Nothobranchius furzeri: one gene and its partners. The protein of the gene in region 1 purifies or fractionates together with the protein of each later gene. This does not show direct contact. Links are inferred from orthologs where the notes say so. Each region holds a gene or a part of one and is shown on either strand. Other genes may lie near its edges.

What was found.
Region 2: the proteins of cpsf1 (region 1) and sympk fractionate together in Homo sapiens (co-fractionation; 5 studies listed by BioGRID and IntAct, with this or other methods). This does not show direct contact. The link is inferred for Nothobranchius furzeri from reciprocal best matches to the Homo sapiens genes CPSF1 and SYMPK.
Region 3: the proteins of cpsf1 (region 1) and fip1l1b fractionate together in Homo sapiens (co-fractionation; 8 studies listed by BioGRID and IntAct, with this or other methods). This does not show direct contact. The link is inferred for Nothobranchius furzeri from reciprocal best matches to the Homo sapiens genes CPSF1 and FIP1L1.

What each region holds. Positions count from the first base shown.
Region 1 is NC_091751.1:1,599,061-1,607,276, forward strand, and holds the start of cpsf1 (cleavage and polyadenylation specificity factor subunit 1), read left to right. Parts: upstream 1-3,762; 5' UTR 3,763-3,885; intron 3,886-3,958; exon of another isoform or gene 3,959-4,003; intron 4,004-5,883; exon of another isoform or gene 5,884-6,591; intron 6,592-8,133; exon of another isoform or gene 8,134-8,216. UniProt on the Homo sapiens protein: Component of the cleavage and polyadenylation specificity factor (CPSF) complex that plays a key role in pre-mRNA 3'-end formation, recognizing the AAUAAA signal sequence and interacting with poly(A) polymerase and other factors to bring about cleavage and poly(A) addition.
Region 2 is NC_091747.1:24,057,920-24,066,303, forward strand, and holds the start of sympk (symplekin), read right to left. Parts: upstream 5,190-8,384; 5' UTR 5,061-5,189; intron 4,742-5,060; 5' UTR 4,676-4,741; coding exon 4,616-4,675; intron 3,614-4,615; coding exon 3,548-3,613; intron 1,806-3,547; coding exon 1,752-1,805; intron 1,574-1,751; coding exon 1,500-1,573; intron 1,404-1,499; coding exon 1,277-1,403; intron 1,193-1,276; coding exon 943-1,192; intron 847-942; coding exon 676-846; intron 385-675; coding exon 145-384; intron 38-144; coding exon 1-37. Other genes in the region: solute carrier family 35 member F5, read left to right, coding at 6,386-6,520, 6,915-7,064, 7,507-7,569, 7,671-7,752. UniProt on the Homo sapiens protein: Scaffold protein that functions as a component of a multimolecular complex involved in histone mRNA 3'-end processing. Specific component of the tight junction (TJ) plaque, but might not be an exclusively junctional component. May have a house-keeping rule.
Region 3 is NC_091747.1:75,987,716-75,995,846, forward strand, and holds the start of fip1l1b (pre-mRNA 3'-end-processing factor FIP1), read right to left. Parts: upstream 4,995-8,131; 5' UTR 4,840-4,994; coding exon 4,761-4,839; intron 4,435-4,760; coding exon 4,380-4,434; intron 2,424-4,379; coding exon 2,357-2,423; intron 2,255-2,356; coding exon 2,142-2,254; intron 1,921-2,141; coding exon 1,856-1,920; intron 1,737-1,855; coding exon 1,626-1,736; intron 1,465-1,625; coding exon 1,334-1,464; intron 1,219-1,333; coding exon 1,100-1,218; intron 1-1,099.

The DNA of each region.
Region 1 (8,216 bases):
CAGCTCTGGTTCCTCCTCAGAATGCGCATTGGTGGGATTGAGGAGCTCCTCAAAGTATTCCTTCCACCGTCCGACTATAGCCTCAGTTGACGTCAGCAGCTCCCCATCCCCACTGTAAACAGTGTGAGCGAGTTGCTGCCTTCCTCTCCTGAGGCGCCGGACAGTTTGCCAGAACCTCTTTGGAGCCGATCGATAGTCTTTCTCCATGGCCTCACCAAACTCCTCCCACGCCCGAGATTTTGCCTCGGCAACTGCCACTGCTGCACCCCGCTTGGCTATCCGGTACCTGTCTGCTGCCTCTGGAGACCCACAGACCAGCCACGCCCTGTAGGCCTCCTTCTTCAGCCTGACGGCTCCCCGAACCTCTGGTGTCCACCAGCGGGTAAGGGGGTTGCCACCACGACTGGCACCGGCCACCTTACGACCACAGCTAGCAACAGCCGCCTCGACAATCGCAGAGTGGAACAAGGCCCACTCGGACTCAATGTCCCCCACTGCTCTCGGGACGTGGTCAAAGCTCTGCCGGAGGTGGGAGTTGAAGACCGTCTTGACAGGTTCTTCTGCCAGGCGTTCCCAGCAGACCCTCACTATGCGTTTGGGTCTGCCAGGTCTACGCGGCATGTTCCCTTGCCATCTGATCCAACTCACCACCAGGTGGTGATCAGTTGACAGCTCCGCCCCTCTCTTCACTCGGGTGTCCAAAACATACGGCCGCAGGTCAGATGATATGACTACAAAATCTATCATCGACCTGTGACCTAGGCTGCCCTGGTACCAAGTGTACCGGTGGGCATCCTTATGTTCGAACATGGTGTTCGTTATGGCCAAACTGCGGCTTGCACAGAAGTCCAATAACAAAACACCGCTCGAGTTCTGATTAGGTGGGCCGTTCCTCCCAATCACACCCCTCCAGGTCAAGCTGTCATTGCCCACGTGAGCATTGAAGTCCCCCAGCAGGACAATGGAGTCCCCTGATGGAGCACTATCTAGCACTCGTCCCAGGGACTCCAAAAAGGGTGGGTACTCTGAACTGATATTTGGCCCATAAGCACAAACAACAGTCAGGACCCGTTCCCCGACCCGAAGGCGCAAGGAAGCTACCCTCTTGTCCCCCGGGGTAAACCCCAACACACAGGCAGAGAGTCTCGGGGCTAACAAAAAGCCAACCCCAGCCCTCCGCCTCTCACCCGGAGCAACTCCAGCAAAGTAGAGTGTCCAACCCCTCTCCAGGTCTCGGGTTCCAGAGCCAATGCAATGTGTCGAGGTGAGTCCGACTATATCTAGCCGGTACCGCTCAACCTCTGCCACAAGCTCCGGCTCCTTCCCCGCCAGCGAGGTGACGTTCCATGTCCCAGAAACTAGTTTTCTTGTCCGGGGATTGGACCGCCAAGGCTCCCGCCTTGGTCTGCCACCCGATTCGCATTGCACCGGACCCTTCATGTTCCTCCTGCGGGTGGTGGGTCCACAGTTGGACGAGCCCATGTATCCGGTTCGGGCTGGGCCCGGCCGGGCCCCATGGGCGAAAGCCCGGCCACCAGGCGCTCGCTCACGGGCCCCAACCCCAGGCCTGGCTCCAGGGAGGGACCCCGGTAACCCTCCGGGCCGGGTACTCCGACTCTTCGTTTTAACCGCCATGAAAGATCCTTCGAACCGTTCTTTGTCTCACCCTTCACCTAAGACCAATTTGTCATGGGAGACCCTACCAGGGGCACTAAGTGCCCCAGACAACATAGCTCCTAGGATCATTAGGGCACTCAAACTCCTCCACCACGATAAGGTGACGGTTCAAGGAGGAGTTTTGATTGTTAGTAATAAATCTTTAAACCTTTAAACTTGACTCTCTCCTGTTGTCTCTGAGTGAATACGAAGCTGATATCTAATCTGTAATAAAAAGTTCCAATCTTCTGGTTAAAATAACCCAACAGATCCATAAGGTTGATTTCATATTTCCTATGGAATCCTACGTCTTATGGCTTATTAAATAACATGTAATTTAAATTAATTACAGTAATGACACACCTCCCAAGGCTGTTTTTCGATGCATTTTGCTAATAATGTTGCCAGGTTAAACCAGATTGCTTTTAACAGTGATGGCACATCTCCCACGGCCGTTTTTTTTATGTGTTTTGCTAATAATTTCGCCATGGTAAACCAGATTGCTTAAAACAGTAACGACACCCCTCCCATGGGCGTTTTTTGATGTGTTTTGCTAATATTGTTGCCACGATAAACCACATTGTTTAAAACAGTAACGACACACCTCCCAAGGCTGTTTTTCAATGTGTTTTGCTAATAATGTTGCCACGGTAAACCAGATTGCTTAAAACAGTAATGACACACCTCCCACTGCCGTTTTCGATGCGTTTTGCTTATCATTTTGCCAGGATAAACCAGATTGCTTGTAACAGTAATGGCAAATTTTCTTCATGTTTATGTGGAAACCTTTGTGGTGAGCAGCAGAGGATGACCTTCCATGTAAAAACAAATAACGTGATAAATCTTCCTTTCTGGCACCCTAAATATGTGTCTGTGTGAAAGATTTCCTGCTAACGCCATGCAGAAATGTCACAGTTGGTGTTTACGTTTTTGATATATTCATCATGAAGCCCCAACTTCCCCTATGTTTTTGGCTGTTCCTGCAACCAAAACTATTTATTATCACCTAGTTTTTTCATTAAACAAGTAAAAAAATTCCTGAAGCGCGTCCACAAAAAGACTTTCTGGTTTTTTGGGACAATTTGGGAACTAAATGTGCCTGTCACGTAGCATTTAAAGCATTCTGTAATAGCTTCCACTAGGGACTTTGTAAACTGATCCATGTCTGTGGTTGTAAAGATTTGTAAATCACACAGGTTTTTAAAGATATACTGATGAAGGTTTTCAAACAATTTAGGCTGGATTTTAAATTTTAACATGCAAGCTTCTAACCATAGTCTTTTATAAATGATTTCCCAGATTGCTTCCACCTCTTCTGCAGTGACACATTTTTCGATTTCCTGAAAAGCTCTAAAAATGACCATTTTAATTAAAATACTTATTGACGTTTGACACTTTAATTGTCTTTTTCTTCGTTCTCTATTAAACCTTTCTCGAGAACGCCAGCTTGATGGTAGGTAATCGCCTGCTGTTCTTCTAAAAAGCTGTGTAACATTAGGTTGAATAGATCTCTCTGACAAGTTAAACTTTAAATCTGTGTCTGCCATTTTAAGGACTTATAAAATTATGCTTTTCAACAGTTGAGATCAAAGGATTAAGGTCGCACCAATAATGACGTATCAAACGAATGTTCGTGACGACATACACAACAATAGAACGCGTAGTCCTTAAGCCCCGCCCTTCTTGACTGACAGCTAACGTGTCTGCGTCATAGACCGTAGGTCTGCGTGCGCACGTGACTGTGTGCGCGCGCAGGTAAATGGACGAATGTGACAGCTTCAAAGGGTCTGATTCCCAGTGCTTTTGATTTCAGAAAAAAGCACCAAGGAGGCTTCTAGTGACAGATACTGCATAGGCGTCATTTTAACCCCGGACGCCAGCAAAATTTGTGATTGGCAGCTGTGCCCCCCCCTCCCCCAAAAGCCTGCCGATGGGGATTTTTTTTTTTTTACCAGCTCAGATCTTATACCTACCTCTGCTCCCAGCAGATAGTCTATAATATACTTTATAAATGTCGCAACTGGCATCTAATTATTTATACTTGAGCTTTAAATAAAAATAAAACCGTAATCAATTTAGATTAATTTGTAACATTTCTAAAAAACCGCCCTGCTGTTGCTGTGTACTGTACCATGCTATCCTGCAAGCAGGGGTCAGCAGTTGTGATAAACAGGAGAGCACGTCACCCACACAGCTCAAGAATCCCTTATTCTTCTTTAGCTCCAAGAGGTAAGCAATGTTATATTTTATTAAACACCAAAAGAAGGTGATATTTTAATGTGATTAATGCAGGGGTCCTTCAGGCATGCATACGGCCACCTCAGCTGTTAGCGTGTAGCTGGTGGAGGTGAGTACACATGAGCAGAATTATATGTTGTTAATAAGTCGATTTTAAGTTGAGTTAAGTAGCTTTTGTGACTTGTTTCTGACATGTGAGGGCTCTTGGGAGTGTTCTGTGAGAAGTTTAGCTGTAGCTTTAAAAAGAAAAGCAAGTTATATGGGTGATAATGCTTCGATTAGCGTGTTGCTAATAGAAGCTAACTTCTCGTGAGTGAGTGTTAAGTTACTTAGCTGTCTTTTTAACCTGAACAGAATGTGATGCTGGATAACACACATTAGCCACGTTTACATGTGCAAAATCTCCTCTATCTGATTAAAATCTTGGCTGTTCAGAAATCCCAAATATCTGTTTACATGGACACTAATTTATGCACCAAGCATTCAATTTGAATAAATAGGTTGAGCATGCGCAGAGAGTTGTCTTTCCCGGAAAAAAATGGTAAACAAACGCCATGAAACGAAATGAAAAATGTAATGGGCAGAATTTTTGATCTGATTGGGTGTTCAATCCAATTACTTGTGCCCATGTAAACGTGGCTAGTGATGGAAATTGTGTGCTCTGTTATACCCATCGACATATAAATATTGGATAATGGGTTTCCATAGGCTCCAATAACACATTTTTGAAGATAAATGGGAGGTGGCCACCACCGCCTCTTTGACCGTGTCACAGGTTCCGTCAAGCCCAGACAATTCCACAAAAGGGAAGAGAGGTGGAGCTGAGGGTGGGGCTGTAAAGCTTGGTTTATGCTTGATGCATTCACTTTCCACTTGGTGATGCGGCTCGCGGATGGAACGCGCTTCACAACTCGCAGCGTTTATGGTTCATGCGGCTTGTCTCTGCGGTGAGCCAATATTCTCCCAAACTGTAGGGGGCAGCATGGAGCTCTACGGCATGCATCCAACACTACACCATAGTAGAAGTAGAAATGACTGTTGTTTACAACATGGCATTCCAGCATTTTTTAACAGCGTCCTCGTCTTTTCCGACAGTGCGAGCTATTTCTCTCCAAGAATTATTAACAACATGTTGATCACGGTGATCTCTGAGAGCTGAATCATACAAATGTTTTTCCGTGTCCGACCGTCCGCGTGATTAGAAAACTTCCTAGGTGCGCGGTGCGGAAATTTCGGGCCGTGCGGAGACGTGGTGGAGGGGCGTGGTTGTTAAAATGACGCAATTTCACCGCGCTGAGCCGTGCGGACCGCGCGGACGCGTCAAGCATAAACCAACCTTAAGGCTGGGATCAACTGATGACACCCGGTCGAACTAGCTACAAGCTAACCCAAAGCTAACGCGGAGGTGGGAGCTAAGCTAACTGAGGTAGCAACGTAGCTACAACTGGAGTTAAATGTGCACAACACCAGAGCTTCTGAGTCAGAGATACGCCGGGCTGACCGCTGGGTAAAACCGGGTGGAACACAGAGGTCTCCGAGACCTCCACAAGCTGGTAGCCGCACAGCAGACTAGCGCCGCTGCGATCTGAGATGCGCAGAGCTGCCGCTGGGGAGAACCGGGTGGAAAGGTTTCCATCCCAGAGCTCCACAAGCCGATAGTGGGAACCCAGCTCCACCAACATGTTATATTTCAACCCATTTTCTAAAGTGCAGCATTATGTTAAATGCACTGGGTTTTACCCTATTACATTTAAATTTCATGGTTAAACAGTACATGTTAAAATCTAAGCTCAGCTCGGCAGTGACCTAAAATACATAAATATAATTTTACTTACCGAAAAAAATGAAGTGGAGACTCCTTGGATGCTCTATTAGTGCAATTAATGCCACAGCAAGTCATTTTGTCCAACAATTGCACAAAAAATATCCAAACAAGAATACACAAACAGAGACTCAAAATCCCGGAGCAGTTTCCAGGCCAGACCGAGGCTCTACTGAGGCCTTTCCACTGAGCTAGCTCTGCGGTCACGTGGGTCTGATGCTCATTAATTATACAGAATTTTAGGCTTTTAATACACTTAAACAGAAGAGTGAGAAAAACATTCACCCCCCTCAGAGTTGTCATGAGTGTAAACTAGATCATTTAAACCTAAAACATGTTCTGGTACAAGGCTGTAAACATGTTTATTTCTGCTGTGAAATTGGTATTTTTAACATGGGAGTCAATGAGGATTTGCTCGCTTCTGACACCAGCCCCTAGTGGATGAGGGTGGAACTGCAATTTTTGTCACTTCCGCGTTGGCCTCAATTTTTCACCCGCATTGGGGGGCGTGGTTATACCAGGAAGGCTCGATGTATGAATGTTGTTGAAGAAAAATGTATTTGTGTTACAAGTGTTGTTAGCAACTTTTGGTTATCCACCATAATCTGTTTTTATGTAAATTGTGGAAAAATAAACTTGAATAGTAATAATAATAACCACTATACAATCACGCAGTACAGTGACACATAAGTTGGTGGAGACCCCTGTGTGAGGCTGGATAACACACATTGATGGAAATTGCGTGTGTTCTGTTGGACCAGATTGCTGCCAATAAAAGCATGTTGAAGAATAATCTGGTGCCATAATCTGCTTTTTGGTGAATGTGGAGCACAAGAGTGATGACACAAATTGTCCAGACCACATCTACTGAACAGGTCAGAAGGTGATCCGTTACATTAGCCGCTCTCCCTTTATTTTGTTTGGATGCCTTGATGAGTCTTTTGAAGCTTAAAATAATATGAAGGATTCTTTAGTCAAAGATGGATCAGTTAACTGTTTTATCAACAGAACAAAAAGGAAAAGGGAAATAACCATTAGGTTTGAATGCACACAAATACAGATTGTGAACACACTGAGAACAGTAGAACAGTTAAATTAAATTTAGCTAAAAAAACAATTGGTAAACCAATATTAAATGCATATTGGACTTGATGTTCGAACTGTAATCTTAATAACTAATGCTGTTTGAGTGTGTTTGAGACAGTAAACAAGTGGATTGTGTATGCTTTATGTATTTTTCCAAGTCAGGTGGAGAGTTAATGGTGGCCAAAGATGTACACCCATCTCTCAGATGTACCAATGAAAGCTGCGGCTATTTCTCTTTTGTCTAGCCCAGGGGTCGGCAACCTGTTCCCAGCAAAGAGCCATTATTACCCGTTTCCCACAGTAAAGAAAACACTGGGAGCCACAGCAGCCGCGGCGTTGTGGGCGGGGCCTACCCTCAGACAGCAGAGAGCTGCTTTAACCAATCACAAAAGGTGACAGCAGCCAGTACCGGTCGCTCGTGTAGAAAACTTTTTTTCCGGCTCCCCTGGATGTGTAGGATATCCAGCTCCCCCATAATTCGATCCCTGCTCCTGGATGAAAAACCGGACATTTTCATCAATACAAGAACCCCCCCACCCCCCGGGACAGAGAGCGAAAAGTGGACATGTCCGGGGAAAAGAGGACGCATGTTCACCCTAGTTTAATATAAAGCGGGAGATTACAGATGCAGTACTTTGCTCGTGCCCTTGCTGCCCTGGGCCCTTTAGAGTTCGAGGGCCCTGGGCAATTGCCCAGTTGCCCATATGGTTAATCCGGCCTTGCCTACAGCGGTACATTTCCACACACACACACACACACACACCATAAAGCCCCAAACTAAAAGAATCCCTTACCTGTAGAAATAATCCTCCGTGCACCCAGTGTACAGCTCCGACACGCTGCCCCACCTGTCTGTCAGGACGCCAGGTAAACGCTCTCGCTCAGCTGGACACAATTGGGGCTTTTAAAGAGCCAGCATGATTACACGGGGAGGCAGAGCGCAACGATCATAGAGAACAATGGCCATCCGTCACACAATGTCAAAATGAGGCTCAGTGTGTGTGTAGCCTTCATGTGCATGTATGACCTTCCTGATGGTGGTTGGAGCGTTCGGCAGGCCTCACCTCTGTCAGTGCGCCCCATGGCAGCTACATCGTAGCTCATCCCCACCAGTGTGTGCATGTGTGTGTGAATGGGTGAATGACTGATTGTGTTGTAAGGTGCCTTGGGGGGGTTGTAGAACCCTAAAAATATGCTATACAAATACAGGCCATTTACCATCTACAACACCTGGGCATGCTCCTGATGAGGTGGCTGATGGTTTCCTGAGGGATCTCTTGCCAGACCTGGACTAAAGCATCCGCCAACTGCTGGACAGTCTGTGGCGTTGGTGGCTGGAGTGAGACATGATGTCCCTGGTGTGCTCAGTTGGATTCAGGTCTGGGGAATGGGTGGGCCTGTCCATAGCATCAAT
Region 2 (8,384 bases), on another chromosome or scaffold:
TCTTCTTTGTCCTCGTCATCCTCAATGAGAGCTGGCTCTGAGTACAGACAGACAGTCCTCATGAAGAATGATGCAATCACAACTGTTCCAGTCAAATATTTTCTATTGACCTCCAAAAATTCAGTGTCTGTGGTTGTGACCCACCTATCTTGACCTTCTTTCCCTCTGTGTATTGTTCGTAACGAGGTCTTTTGCGCTGCTCCCGTGGTGTGGGCGTGCAGCGGGTTATTTCACTCTGAGGCATTCCTAAATCCAGCAGCAGAGTGCTGATCTGACCCTGGAACTCCAGGCTGCAGGGATGCTTGAGGACCGCCAACAACTGCAGCTTCAGATTCTTTCGAACGCTGCTGACTTGAGACTTGGCCAAAGTCGGAGGTAGATTAGCTAAAAAAAGAATAAATCGATTATATTCTGCAGTTTGATGATAAAAACATCCTCCACTATCGAGAACCTATTCAATTATATGTTGCGTCTGAAAACATCAGAGTTTAGGGCTGTTTTTATACCTGAAGGGTTTCATTGGTCAAAGGTAATGAAAATGACTGACTAAAGGAAACAAACTCCAAAGAAAAACTTCTGAGGTTTCCTCAGAAGAAAAATCTAAAGAAAAGGAGAACCCGATCATGTTTTCGTACAGATATCTAATCCTGGGAAGGATCTGGGAACCAGACTCACCGTGCAGCGTCTCAAACGCCTGGACCACTTTGGACATGAACATCGGTCTCCGTCGGGCGATTGTTGCCAGCGAGCCCAGCGCTGTGGTGAGGTTGATGCTGGAAATAGCTGGATGGATCATGAACGTCAGCAGCTTCTCAAGTGCAGTCTTCCCCTCCTCACACAAAGTATCTGTACATTTGATCACACAGCAAAAGACACTTTCAAAAGTGATCAAAATTGCTTTAAACATTACATTTTGTCTCAGTAAGATCCTAAGATGTGTACCGTAGCGAATGTAGGAATGGTCTTTGGGAACTCTGTCCAGGCTGATGCCCCCTTCCTGTTGCTTGGGGACGTCAGACTCAGCTGTTCGCGGTGACAAGGTGATGATTAAAGATTCTGTGAACTTGATTGCATGCGTGCGAACACCATCATTCTCAGAGTCGAGTAGGATCAAAACGTCCCCGGTCATTTGTGTAACCAAATTCCAGCATGCCTCCTGCATATCCGATATGGTTTTGACACGCACCAACCACTGGCGTGAAAGTCAAGAGGAAAGAAATCAGAATCTCGAGGATGTAAGGAGCGAGCTGGTGAATTCAGGGACAGGAACGCTGACCTGTAGCGTAACTTTGTACAGCTGAGTGAGGGTGAGGATGGCCTTCTTCACCACATTAACGCTCTCATCCTTCAGCAGCATGTTCAGGTTGGCGATCAGTCGGACCAGGAGCTCGTTGTCCCTTTTACTGGAAAAATCAGTAACAGGAAAAAAAGGTTGAGAAAGTTCTGCTTTTCTTTTGATCAATGTTAAGCTTGGACATGTTGGATGTTTCATTACTCACCAGGCCTCCTCTATAAACCCAATGACAAACTTTCTCACTTCAATAGACTTGTCGGTCTGGAAAGCGATGATCTCCTACAGTTTAAAACACGGGAATAAGAGTAAGTTAAAAAGACAATGTGTGCTGAAATATAACATGTTCTAATATCCAGAGACATGACAGCTTGGTTTTGAGACTCACTCAGGGAGAGTAAATAATCCTTTTTTTGTCTTGTTATATTTAATGAGGAATCCTAAATGTGCCCATACTTACATCCAAAAAATTATCAAGAAGAGAAGGATCCTTGTTGATGATAAGCTCCTGAACCTGAAATAAATTCATATTGTCAAAATTGTTTTACTCCAGCTTCTTTTTCTGAAGAGATCTTGATTAATAGATTATAATCCAGCACATATTGAGTAGAGCTGAGGAAAATAATCAAATAATCGATGCATCGGGATGCGGACATAAACGATTCTGCATCGTAGAAGAGTACGCCATAATCGATTATGGTGGAATGTAGTTTTGTTCTTTTAATGGCGGCACCAGCACAGATCCAAATCTGTCAGAGTGAGCGTCCTCCACATTTACCAAGTGGTTCCGCATTAATGTGGTACTGCAGGGCTGAGCGCTTGAGTTGTAACCTGAGACCGAACCGGAACCAAATCAGCCCGACCGGTTCTGTTGGATTTGGGCCGTGAAATATGTTAATTGAGCGGGTTGTCACGCGGCGCGCTCCGCTCTCTCAGCGACTGAGAGAGAGAGAGAGACTGTCCGCTCACACGAGAGGATCGGAGGACGCCCCTCCAAAGCGATGCTCCAAACACGCATTATTATTTTCATAATTTAATTTTTTTTCTCCTGGAAGCGCTCAGTCAGACCAAGTGTTGTAATGCTGGGAGATCCGGTCTCGGGGGAGGGGGCGGGGTCAATGACGGCGGCTGCAGCGTGATCGTCTGTCTCTTTTATTTAGGGACACGGAGAAGTTAAAAGGAGAGAGAAATAGAAGAAAGAAGTTCTTGTTCCACTTTATTCTTTTGTTTCATGATGATAAACTGATGTTAGCTTCAGCTTAAAGAGAAGCTGGGAGGAAGCTTTGGTTCATTTTAGGTTACAGGAGACTTGTCTCATATCTGCTCCTCCAGAGACAGCATGGACATGACGGTTACATGGTGAGGGTGACACAGGACAGGTTACTGGAAAGGTTTGTAGTTAGCTGGTTAGTGAAAGAGATCTATCAGCTGGGTATTTTAATCCTAATCCAGCCCACAGCCTTCTGCTGGTGTTATTATCAGGAAGAATAAAACACACATCTTAAATATTATTGGAAGTGTAGAATTTGTTTTATGTTTTATTATTTTCTGCATCAAACAGAACTTGATTCATTCTCCAACATTTCAGAAACGAACCACTGGGTTCAAATAAAATAAACTAAGTCAAACATTTCATTTGGTGTTATTTCTGACACCCTTCAACTGCAGCATAAATATTTGACTCTAGAGCTGCTCAGAGACATTAAACACTCATATATGAACCCATTATGGATTTTATTACTACATTATGTTGTGTCCTGTGGGTTTTCAGTACTTTTTTAGATTTTGTGAGATTTTGTAAAGCATGTTTTCTCAGCCTGAGGCGTGGTGTTGAACGAGGAAACAGATTGTTTTACTTTGTTAAATCTTCTTAAATGTTTTGTCCTAACCTGTTGTGAATGGAGAGATTTTGAGGGATGGCAGGTTGTATCAATTACGTTTTTGATTAAAAAAAAAGCAATTATCTGACATCTTCTATTTATCGATGAAAACAAATCAATATGAAATAATCGTGATGCATCGGGATATCGGATCGAATTGAATCGTTGACCCAATAATCGTAATCGAATCGGGAGACAAGTGAAGATTCACACCTCTAATATTGAGGGCCAGATTATATGTTGAGCATGTTAAAAGCAGGAGAAACCTTTAGAATACAGATTATTTATTCAAAATATCATAGATCTGGAATGTTCTAAGTTATTGTAATTTTTGTGTGTTTTAGTTGGTACTTGCAGCAATAATTAGACAGCAAACCTGTTTGAGAATTGTTAGCTTTTCATCAGTTGGCATCAGAGCAGCTTGATTCAGCAGCTCCACAACCTGAAAGGAAAAAGAAAACCCAGTGAATTTCTCTTTCAAAGCAGATTTACTTTTAAGTAAAAACACAACTGGTACACGACTAAAACAAATAACTGAGTTGTTATTATTAGAAAAGACAATTTTTGCAGTTTAACAAAAGTTGCCCCATACTCGGAGATATAGGTGACTTTACTGTGACATGGGTTAGTTGGAGTAAAACTGCTTTAATTTTCCATCCAAGTGACTATGATTCTGGTCATAGCCATTGGCTTTAAAGGCAATAATGAGACACTCAATCTTAAACCTCAGTCCACAGATGTGAGCCTCTGTTGAAGAACCTTCCTAAATGTTGGGGTCATCTACATCTACAATATGTATGTTAGAGTGAACTGACATTTATAGGCTCATTAAAAAGGAAATTCAATCAAAATCCCTAAAAATAATAGTTGTTTTTATTAATACAAACTGAGCTAGATGTATTTACCAGACCATAGCAGTTTATTTATAAAGTATATTTAGAAATAGCATGGCAGCTAACCAAAGTGCTGTACAGGAGAGCAAAACACTCTCACACACAACAACAAACAACTAGTTTGAACAACCAGTGACTGCTGGTTAAAGTCTGGTGTTATTGGAAATTATTCAACTCACAAATTTAAACTTTAAATTAAAAACAAAATGAAAAGATGAAATTCTTTTGGAGGAAAACACAGTATGTAAGATTCTGGAACCACATCACAGTCAGCATAACAGAAAGTTTTCTAAAGCCTCGACACCAACATGGAAACAGTAATTATTAGAAAATATATTAATTCATGTATATTTAACTTGTACATCCCATAATCTGAAGGGGGAAAATAATATAATTAAAATAATCTTATTGAATAATAAAAAAGACATTACAGACTATTAATCAAGACAGTGATCTCAGTGCTATGGTGTCCCTCTTTAAACTATGTTGCATGAAGAAATGTTCAGTGCCGTACCGGGGATGCTCTATTCGTGAGTGTTTGTCTAATTTACCTTTTCACTTGTGGTGATGTTGACGCTGGGAGTTCCCTCCTCCACTGAAGAAAGCTCCATGTTGCTGCTTTGTGTGTCTCACAGTCCTGACGGCAAGGTTTTAAAAACTCCAATAAACGTCAGATTCTAGAAACAAAATGTTTGCAATATTTACACTAAAACATGAATTAAGCTAAACCAATTACAGTGACGGTGAGAAGAAAACTTAGTTGTAAAACAATAAACGCTTCCCTCCCACCTACGCACATTAATAAGGCTTTAATTGACATTATTTCAACATTACTAGCTTCGTTCTGTGATGCTAGTCAGCGAGCACCTCCATGCTAACCGCATTGCTAACTTCAATAGCAGCTTTAACATTATTTGACAAACGTACGCCACTTAACAGACCTGTTTTTGTGTTCATGTAGAAATTATATATGTTCCGTAAGAGAAACGCACTTACTTAGTATATTTTCCATTACATAAATGGGAAAAACCTATTAGCGCGGAAAAGAAGCCGCTTTCTTCTTGTTCTTCTTCTTCGTACCCCTACTTCTTTTTCTAACCTCTTGGCGCACTGTCGCCACCTACAGTGAAAAGCATGCAAAAACAAAATATTAAATATTCAGTCAAATCTAAAAAGAAAAACAGGGAATTCATCTTCTGTTTTATTTTTATATTGCCTTTCTATTTTAAGCACAAATACTTGCTTGGTTTGACTTTAAAACTTGAATGTGTCCCTTTAAAAAGCCTCATAAGATTAACTAATGCTTAAAATCCCAGTCTCAACAATCTAGTGACACGAATCACCTTTAGATGTTATTAATAAAATTTCATTAGACCATCTTTTTATATTTAGAGCGGCACAAAGATCCCAAAGTTTTTTTCTTTTAAGACTTCAAATCCCAGAAATCTTTGCACAGTAAGTGATGTCACCTGACTGATAAGGGGTGGGTATGCTAATGTTTACAACCAAGATCTGACTACAGTTTCATTGCAACAACAGTGATTTCGTTTATATTGCACCATAATATGAACTGACAATCAAACAGTGGTAAAAAAAATAAATGACTACGTCACATTTTCAGGTAAGATCACATTTTCTTACGCTTTTAATCGCATAACTGCAACGAGCTTGTTAGCGCTTAGCTTGTGAAACAGGCAGCTAAACAGCGACTCTGTTTACATCCTTTTCCCAAACAAATGAGGTGGAAATGCGGCCAAAAGTTCAGTTTAAAAGTGAAGTTTAATTACAGACCTTGGGCATATATCTTATTCTTTTTAAACGATGGTAAGAGTTTGACAGCTAAGACGTGAAAACAGCAGTTTCTTTTAGAGCTTCCTGCTTGTTCGATGTAATTCCTCATTTAGTGTAATTAGTTTTTAGTCTGTCCTCTGAATGCTCTGGCTGTGATAAACAATGTTGTTGTATTTTCTATGCATTGCTGACAAAATCAGTTTATTTTAACAAACGTACACAATTTTCTGCATGAAAACCTAAATCATCACATTTTAAAACAAAACATTTCAACCTAATTAAGTTCTGCGTAAACTGTGTTCTTTATTCATTTAAGTTTGAGTCATATTAAAAATCAAAACATTTTCTAAGTATTTCAACTCATTTTTTAAGTTTTAGAGATTTGTTTCCAAATACAATTTTTAAAAACACATTTTAACAATTAAAATCTCTTTTATGTCAGGATCATAATATAAAATAAATATATGATTTATAAACATCAAAGAGAGGGAAGCCTTCCTGTTGACACCTGGATGTTTTTCAGCGTCCTGATGGAGTGGGTGTTCGTCATGAACCGGATGAGCTCTCAGAGCAGCTCTGCAGCACAGCGGAGGCGGATGGTCCTGGGGGTGGTGATCCTCCTGCTGGTGGATGTCATCTGGGTAGCATCCTCTGAGTTAACCTCTGTAAGGATTTTATCACAGCTTGTCCGGTTTTCACTCCTGCTGTTTTGGGTGGATTTCTTTACACATGTTCACAGTGATTGAGCAAAACAGTTTTGTGAAACTGCTTTTAAAGGCGGAGTCAAAAAAGTTAGTTGTAGCATCAGAAGTGAGATGTGGAGAGTATAAACCTGGCGTGGGAAAAGTGTCGGATTTCCAACAACATATAATTTTATGATTTTATGACTATTTTTTCTGATGTTAATCTTATTCTGTTTTCAGAGCATTTTGATTTTATGACTTTGTTTTGATCTATGTGAAGCACTTTGTGATTCTATGTCTGTGATAAGTGCTATATAAATAAAATGTACTTACTTACATAAAACAAATTATTTTGTTTCTCTGAATCTCCCTTTAGTACATCTTCAAGCGACAGGAATACAACAAACCCTTCTTCAGCACTTTCACCAAGACGTCCATGTTTGTGCTGTATCTGCTGGGGTTCCTGCTGTGGCGGCCCTGGAGGCAGCAGTGTACTGGCACGCTTAAACACAGACACTCTGCATTTGTAAGTTAAACCCTTTGGTGGATATTCCAGAAGGGTTCAAATGAAGGCAACTGGACTTCTTCAGTTTCATGAAGACGTTTTACTTCTCATCCGAGGAACTTTGTAATGAGAAGTGACAAACATCTTCGTGAAACCAAAGAAGTCAAGTTGCCTTCATTAGAACTCTTCTGGATTATCACGACCTGGATGACTGAGAAGCTTCACCAGCACACCTTTGATCGGAAGTGTTTTGGTTTTTGTGATATTGCCTTAGACTACAACAGTAATGTTTCATTGTTTGTATAAACCTGCACCAGGATAAAAAAATCACTTTCTTTTATGGTTACTGACTTTATTTTTCACACATCACACATTGATTCCTGTAGAATCCATTCTCCATCACACAAAGCCACAGAAGGAATTCTTGATTTTGTTGTAGAAGCTGATGCTATTTATCCTGTAGTTTGCAGATGCTGAGGCTTACTTTGCACCCTGCACCAACGACAACACTGTGAACAACTGTTTGGTATGTAGTTTAGAGAAAATTTTGAATAATTGTGCATTTAATGCCGAACTCCAAGTAGTCTTGGTATGCTTTGGAGCTGATTGTTCTTGTCATGGTTGCAGAGTGAACCCCTGTATGTCCCAGTGAAGTTCCAGGATGTACCCACTGATTTCTCTGATTGTTTAAATCGAGACTGTGAAACTTGTGAGTACAGACGCTAATTTAATTTTTTTATTATAAACAAGGTAACATAATTCATAGTCTCTTTTTTTAGATTTATTTATTTCTTCTTACTAAGGCTTTAAATAATAGAAAACGCTTGCATTTTAATGGGGCGTTTCTGAGGCTTTGAACATTTTTGAAATTGAAACAGAAAATTATTAGAGTAAATAGAATTTGCTCTGAGACGAGTGAAAAAGTTGCATATTTACATATTTAGAGTTCGTGTCACATCACTGCTGAAAAAATCATCCAGAAGTGAAAATATACAAGAAACCTGTGTTTATGAGAACATAATCAGAGTAAAGAGTAAACAACTCCATTTTTTTGTGTTCCTAAATCACCTTCACAAGTGGAGGTTTTAAATGCCGTTTACCCACGTGTGGATGAAAACTCTTGGTTTTTCTGAAATGACAACAAAGCTGCTGGCTGCACATTCATTGTTACTTCCTGCTGTAGAAATAACAAATAGTCATTTCTACCTGCTTTTGTGCTTCAGGCGCACTTTAACCCTTCCACTGTCTTAATGAGTGACCCCGCCAGCAAAGTTGACCACTCAGCAGGACTGATGGTTTATCCCTTGAGGTCCACATGGCAGGAATGAGGAGTGAGCACCA
Region 3 (8,131 bases), on another chromosome or scaffold:
TTCCCGGTACCTAGGAATCGATATCGGTACTTAACGGTACCAATTTTCGATACTTTTGAGTGTTTATTATTTTAATTCTCTTTTATAATTAAATATATATTTTTCTCAATATACAACCATATTTGATAAATATCACGATAAATAACATACAACTGTTTGTATTTTAACATCGTCCTTGTAGTTTTATAAGCTGATAATTAAACTGAAGCAAACATCTTTACTGTGAACTAAATTTACTGTGTATCTTCATTCCTTTTGCCGTCTTTTTTCATTTGATTTTTCCTACTGGGAAGTTAGAATTTCCCAGGAGAAAGCGAACGCACCATTAGCTGATAACATTGGTAGCAATGGAAGCTAACATATCAAGCTAACGTTATCTTAAACAGTTTATTTAGCTGCTGGAGCAGATTAAAACGATGATGCCTCACACTTAGATCGTTGTCGCTGGTTTCATCTTCACCCAATCACCCGTCACATTTAGTAAAGTGAAGCCAAACTTTAGAGCGCGTTCATGTTCTTCTAGTCGGGAATTCGGAGTTCCGAGGAGAAAGCGAACGCACCATTAGTGAAACGGAAGCTAACACATCAAAGCTAATTATATTTACCTACCGGAGCAGATTAAGATGAGGATGTCTCACTTAGATCGTTGTCGCTGGTTTCATCATCACCCAGTTACCCATCACATTTAGTGAAGTGGACCCAAGCGTTAGCGTGCGTTCTTTCTACCATGCTGCTCTGTTTACAACTTGCTCGCAGCGAGCGACAACATAACGCTCTTGCGCATGCGCAGCTGTCTAGGCAAGTTCTCGTTATGAAGGACGGGTACCGAAACGAGGCACCGTTTCAAATGACGTGAATCGGTGCTCGGTCGGTACTATGGAATTCGGTCGGTACCTTAAAAAGTACCGAATTCTGTACCCATCCCCAGGAGCTCATCTACCCTCAGTCCTTTTACTGAAATGGCTCAAGTATTTCCACAGGGACACAACTGTTGTCCTCAGGTAGACCAACCAGGATGGGAGTAAAAGAGCTGCGGCGCGATCTGCCCGTGTGCGTTTTACTCAGGATACGGAACGAGATGAGCAGAAGCTGGAGTCACCTGGTGAACTGGTTGATGGCAGACTTGTGCAGGCTGACGGGAGAGGTGAAGTCTGTCTTGGCAGCGTGAACGGACAAGCTGGACACGTCCTTTTCATTCCCCGTCCTGCCCTGCTGAACCTAAGGAAACAGACACAATGATTGTTTTATAGCAGGTAGCGAGGGAGAAAACGTTTTAACACGAGTTCTTTCTAACTGTACAGGTGTTGTGAGAAGATACTAGATGGTTTCATACAGTGATCTTGCTCATCACTGATCCAACCGTAGAGACCTCCAGGCCCATTCTCAGCCTCTTCTGCTTCTCACAGTACGCCTTCCAGGTGTCTTCATTGAACCCGTAATTGAAATAGTCAGAAAGATCCGCTCCTACACACAGAAACACACACTCGCTATGAAACACACACTCACAGACTACAGTTGGAGCCCGGAAACATTTTATTTAGCGAATCAGTTTCAAGAACTTCTGAGAACATGTTGCTTGTCTCAAAGGATTTTGTCTAAAAAACAGACACCAACACACAGCAGACCTGGCTTCCTCCAGGGTTTCTCCTCAAAGGACTCCATGTCTACTTCCAGCACAGGAACACCGTTGATGTTTCCAGGAGCATCCAGATCCACTCCCTTTAGCTTTGTGGTCACTGGAAATGAAAACACATTACTAGTTACGTTCGCAAAAGTAAAAGTGCAACTGAGATTTACTTCATGTAAGGTTAAACCGTCAAATGTGAACACTGATGCAACAAACAGGAAGTGACACCTTGTCCGTAAGGTCTGGAGCTGGTCGACTTTATGTTGAGGTTGACTGGAGGCGCTCCATACGTCCTGGGAAAAAAAACGAGTCGACAGTGATGTAGAAAAACTGTTTTCTCACGCTGACTTCATCCATTAAAACTGATTGATCAAGTTTTTTGTTTTAAATTAGATCTTCTTTCCCTTTCTTGCTTCACATTTGGCTTTTTTTGTTCATGTCGAAATAAAGAGGCAGAAAAAAATGACAAAAGTGCTGAAATGGGAGTCGTTTTTAAAACACGATTAAAGCCTACGGGTATTGTGGTGCTCCAGTTTTTATGTCACCGATGGTCACACGGACATCGTCGTCGTCGTCATCGCTGTCGCTGTCACTGTCCACATCCTCACCGGCAGCTTCCCCTGTGGCCTGAGAGTTCAGACAAAACAAGCAAATGAGATAAAAGATCATCATCGATCAGAAAACAAACACAAAAAGGACAAAAATATAAGAAATGCAAAGATTACCTACCTCAGAGGCCACGCCGTTTCCTGTAGCCTCTGCAACAGCCTCTTCTGTTGTTATGTCAGTGGGTAAGCTGTTGGTTAAATGTACAAACACTTTGTTGTTCAATCAGAATTCATACTGAAACCGCCCTCGTCGTGCTGTCATAGATGCTCAGTACACACAACAACCTATTGAGTCAGACATCTTTAGTTGTGGCAAATCAATCCATCAATCTTTATTTGTATAGCAGCTTCCACTGCCTTTGCAGGAGCCCAAGCTGCTGACATTAAATACAGTAAAAACACAGATAGCAATAAAAACGAGGTAAAAACAACATACAGACATAATCGCATACAACCAGGTCATATAAAAGCCAAATGATAAAAATGAGTCATCAAACGACTCTTAAAAACCTGCAGCAAAGGTGATCGTTTTATATCAAATGGAAGCTCATTCCAGAGAGAAGGAGCCAAGACTGAGAAAGTCCGATCCTAGGGTTGGGCATCGAGCATCGATTGGAACCGGGATCAACTGTTAAGTTTTTCCCGGAATCGTTCAAAGTTTTTATTTCGATTCCTAGAATGCCAACCAGAAGAATCCGCGACCGACCTCCGTGAAAAATAAACGTGATCTGCAAATTGTGATCAACACTTTTCAGAGCTGATCACAGCAGCTGTCTGTGTGCAGCACCGAGCCCCCCCCCCGGATATAAACAAACACGTCCACCGAACTTTTACTCCGTAATGTAACTTTAACTCCTGCAGCGTAGAGGAAACTTGTTAAATACGTCAACACGGTGGATTTAATAGAAGCTTTAAAGAACAAACTCTGCAGAAATAACACACACGGAGCGTCAGCCGCTCAACAACACTCTGTGTGTGTGTGTGTGTGTGTGTGTGTGTGTGTGTGTGTGTGTGTGTGTGTGTGTGTGTGTGTGTGTGTGTGTGAGCGTGAGCATCAGAAGGCTGAACAATAACCTGTAGAATAATTAAAGTCATCATGCTAGAGCAGCTTCTCCGTGGTGGACCACACCAGCTTCTGCCACAATAAATAATTATAATAATAATAATAATAATAAATCACACACAAAGTTGTGAAATTTCCTTTCTGAACTATTTCTGTTGAGTTTTAATGTTTAAATCTGTTAGATTGTTACTGACAGCAGCTACGTTTAAGTTTCACTTCCTGTTCTGACTGAATGCTGCTGCAGCATGGAGGTGTGGTTCTCAGTCATCCTGGACATGATCATCCTGAGAGCTTCAGCTGAAGACAGCTGGACGTTTCTGGATATGTTGGAGACATTTAGCCTCTCATCCTAGAGGCTTCTTCCAGACTTTGGTTGTGGTCAGAAACAAACACACTGGTTGTGCTGCAAGTCTTTTTCTTTTGTTCTCCAAAACATGTTTTTGTCTAAATGAAGGTGATGTTGTTGTTCATAGAATTAAAAATCATGTTGAGGTTAAGATAATTTCATCAAGTAGGACCTGTGGTTAGCTGGCTCATGTAAAACATGTCATGTCTTGAAAGAATCGGAATCAACAGGAACCGGAATCAAAACGAGGAATTGAAATTGGAATTGTTCAAAATCAAACGATGCCCAACCCTACCAATCACCTCTAGACCTGTACCTAGTTTGTGGGACAGTCAGTAGCTCCAGCTCAGCCGAACGTAGAGGCTGTGATGGGGTACGTCTTTTTTTATTAATGCTGCCAAGTAAGGTGGAGCACCACCATAAAGAGACTGAAGACATAGCACATAACTTTAAACTTAGCCCGAAAACCTACAGGGAGCCAATGTAATAAGACCAGCACAGGAGTGATGTGTGCCGACCTCCTTGTCCCTGTCAGAAATTTGGCCACAAAGTTCTGAACCAACTGTAGACGACTCAGTGCTGCCTGGCTTAGCCCAAATCCACCAACCAGCACCTCTCCGCTTGTATTTATGCCCGGATTTTTGTTTTATCCTCGTTTAAAACTATTGTGTGAGTTTTAAGCAAGTCTAATGTTTTACAGATCATTAGATTAAAGGTGGTGGGAGTGGTTGTTACCTGGTAGCAGCGATCAGTTTGGCTTCTTCCTCCTCTTCTTTACTTTCTGATTCATCTAAAACATAAACATGAAACTTTTAGCCCTTTAATAATAAGCACTTCGTGTAAAGTTTTACCTGTTGAGTCATTGGGATTTTACTTCATTTAATCACAGTGAAAACAGTGAACTAAATAGATGACTGTCTGTGTTATGCGTCTTTAACTTTGTTCAAAAGCATGCCGCTGTTGCTGAAGGCCGACACACGAGCGGTGCTAGTTAGCTTATCGGCTAATGCTCCCATCTCCTCATTACTCGTAGATAAATCGTCATAGACAGAGCATCAAACATATTTATATCTGTATGTGTCGGCGTGGAGATGCGGTGTTGGATTGTTATTTTACCTCCATAGAGCCATTCTTCCTCTTCATCACCTGCGCTGGCATCTGTGGTGGTCGTTTTGTCCGCTTCCTCCGCAGACATCTTCAGCCAAAACCACTCGCTGCTCCAACAGCTAACAGCAGCAACAATGTGTAAAATTTCAATAATATAAGCACAATCTAACCCTTACAGGGAAGAACTTTGATAAATTATGTATCTATTACTTCATAGAATCATATTCAACCCCTTTGCAAATGTGTATGAACCCGGAAGTGATTGAGGATTCTTGAATCCCGCTAAGGTCGGAGTATGGAGTGGAACCGAGCGCGCCCCCTGTTGGACAAAAGAGGCACCGTTTACAGTACTCCCAGGTACAAGTTGGTCGATTATTATGCTGTATAAAATTAAATTAAATACATTTAAATGCAAATTTACGTAGCTTAAAAAGTGCAAATGTTCATCTGAATCAGAATCAAAATGAGAATAGTGTTTTATTGCCAGAGGCCCTAATAGGGTTTGATGTGTAGAATAATTTATAGCCTATAAGAGATAAATAAATTGATATTAAGGCAGATTTAAACTCTCAAAGGCACAATGCGTCATGTAATCACTTTTTACTATGTAAAAACACGCCAATTAATTATGAGCAACAAATTAAAAAATAACTTGATAAAACTGGAACAAAATTTATTTCCATGTATCTACATTTTACATTTAATTTAATAACAAAACAGATATTTTATGTTTTCTCTTAACGTAGTATGGTGACGTTCAGTGTCACACCACTTTACCACTACAGGAGGACGAGAGTTTTCTTTTTACTTACACACATTAAATATACTTAATTTGATCTGAGTGCTCCAGCCGCCTTTTTCTACTTCTCAGTTGTCAGTGCCAGCTGTTGAGCGCTGGCTGTCATTTGAATGATGTGCAGTGTGCCTATTTATTTCTTTTATGAAATATGTTTTACAAATAAAACTTGATACTGTAACTATCTAGAACAAAAGTTAAAGCTTCTTAAGGGAAAAATTTTCCTTCAATATTGAGAAAAAAATCCTAATGAAATTTTGATTAAATGTTGCGTAAGACCACTTTTTGTCAATATTCTTTTGAGAATTGTGTTCATTCATTAAACGGCACTCACAAATGTGTCTAAAAACTAAAAAATTGTTAATTGTTTAGAACCATACGTAAAACTTGCTCAGTGAAAATTCATGCCCATAATTAGAAATAAATCTTGGTGAACTTTTGACAAGAAGTTGATTGTAATATCGACTGAACAGATTTCTTTTAGTTAATTGCCGTCATCCATCAGATAACACTTACTATAAGCCAGAATTATGTTTTTAAAACAAAAAATTACTCATTTAGAGCCAAAGTTAATAACTATTACGAGTGGTAAAAATAGTGTACATTTAACCCAAATACTGGAAAAAATATTTATGCATTTTTGTAATGTCATTTCATCACCACAAGAGGCTGACATTATTCTTTTTTGAGCCCTTACCACAAACCAGAATTATGTTGTAAAAATTAAACAATGTTAATTGTTTGGAGTAAAAGCTAAAACTTACCAAGTGACATTTTTACCGCAGTTATTCAAAAAATATGTATAAATTTTTGGTGAAACCTTGAGGGTAATACATTTAACCCAAATATTATGAAAGAAACAATAACACATTGAAATTTTTTTTAAATTTGTGTGTAATACCACTAAATATTCATCAGAAGTCAACAGTTTTAAAGTAGTGTTGCAATAATAATGCATGAGAACAACAAAGTACGGTAGCACTTTCTGTTGTGACCTGGTGACCCACAGGTCACATCATGGGATTACATTATTTCTTTATTAAATCAGTATATATGTTTTTAAACAGAAGTTGTTGTAATTTCGTACAATTATAATTACAGCCTAATTATAATACCTGTAAATGTTATTAGTTAATTGGTTCATAAATCAAAGTTAACGGTTCACTTGAATTCCCCAAAACTGTCAATGGAATTAAGCTAGCAGCTTAGATGAGTGTGCTATAGTGAACTACACCAAATTCTTGCCTTGCAGGGGGAGGCGACAAGATGGCGGAGTGAGCAGTTGGTCCATAGCAGGATGCAAAGGGAAAACAGTTTTTTTCAAGTCCAAACGTTGCTTAAAGGTAAAAAAAAAAAAAGCCATAACATATTGGAAGAGACTTTCATTCGTTTTTTTTACAAACTGAGGAACTTTTTGAAGAGCTAATTACGGTGTGAGAGAGTGAAAGATGGAACAACGTGGCGAAGCTAGCATCGTTGATCATAATTATGGCATTGCTGTGATGGATGATATGAGTGAAAACGAACCCCAAAGTGTGGAGCAAGCTGATAAAAATCTCGAGGACAGTCAAACTGATATGAACAGTCCACAACCCAAAAAGCTGAGGAAGAGAAGTGTGAAGGCAAGAGAGGAGAGTACAAATAATCTTGTGCAAATGATGGAGATCCCGATCAAAAAATTTGACGGGCTGGACGGGAAGTTGGAGAACATTGAAGTGAGAATGAACAATGTTCAAGAAGCTCTAAAAAAGTTGGATGCTCTAGAAATCAAACTACAAAACATTGAAAAAAGCACAGAAGACACGAAGAAAGAAACAAATGTAAACAAAGAAAACATCACTAAACTACAAAAACAAGTTGAGTTTCTGGGTGTCGAAAATAAAGCTCTGAAAGAGAAGGTACTGGAAGCTGAGAGGTACAAGAGGAGATGGAACCTCAGGCTTCTTGGATTAGCTGAAAAAGAGGAAGAGAAAATCAGAGAGGAAGTTATTGGCATACTCATAAGAGTGGTCCCCGTGTCTGTCGACGAGCTCTGCAGGAATGTGGACACCGTTCACCGTTTGGGAAAAAAAGATGCAATGAATACCAGGCCAAGGCCCATTATCATTCAGTTTGTGTCACGTACGATGAAGGAAGAAGTGTGGAAGATGTCGAAAGAGGCCAGAGTATGCAAGGAGAAGATCATCTTTAAAATGGACTTCTCCAAAGAGGATCGGGAGGTGAGGGAGAAGCTGTGGCCCCAGGTGGAGGAAGCCAGACGACGTGGAAAGAAGGCCTTCTTGAAGGACGGATACGCAATCATCGATGGGAGGAAGGTCTATATTTGTTAGAAATATGATACATTTCAATATTCAGGAAAGGCCCAACACACTTTTTTTCTAATATACTGTTCCTCTGTTAAGATGGGCTGCTATTTTGAGAATGAGATCTCACCAGACCAAACAGCCCAATGTTTTTTATCTTCTGATTGTTAAAGGTGGAGGTTTTGGATGAGCTATAATCTAGTTGGACAATATTGCTCATTCCTGCTGTTTGGATAAATCCAGAGCGGATAAACTAGGTAACATTCCTAGCCATTTGTTTT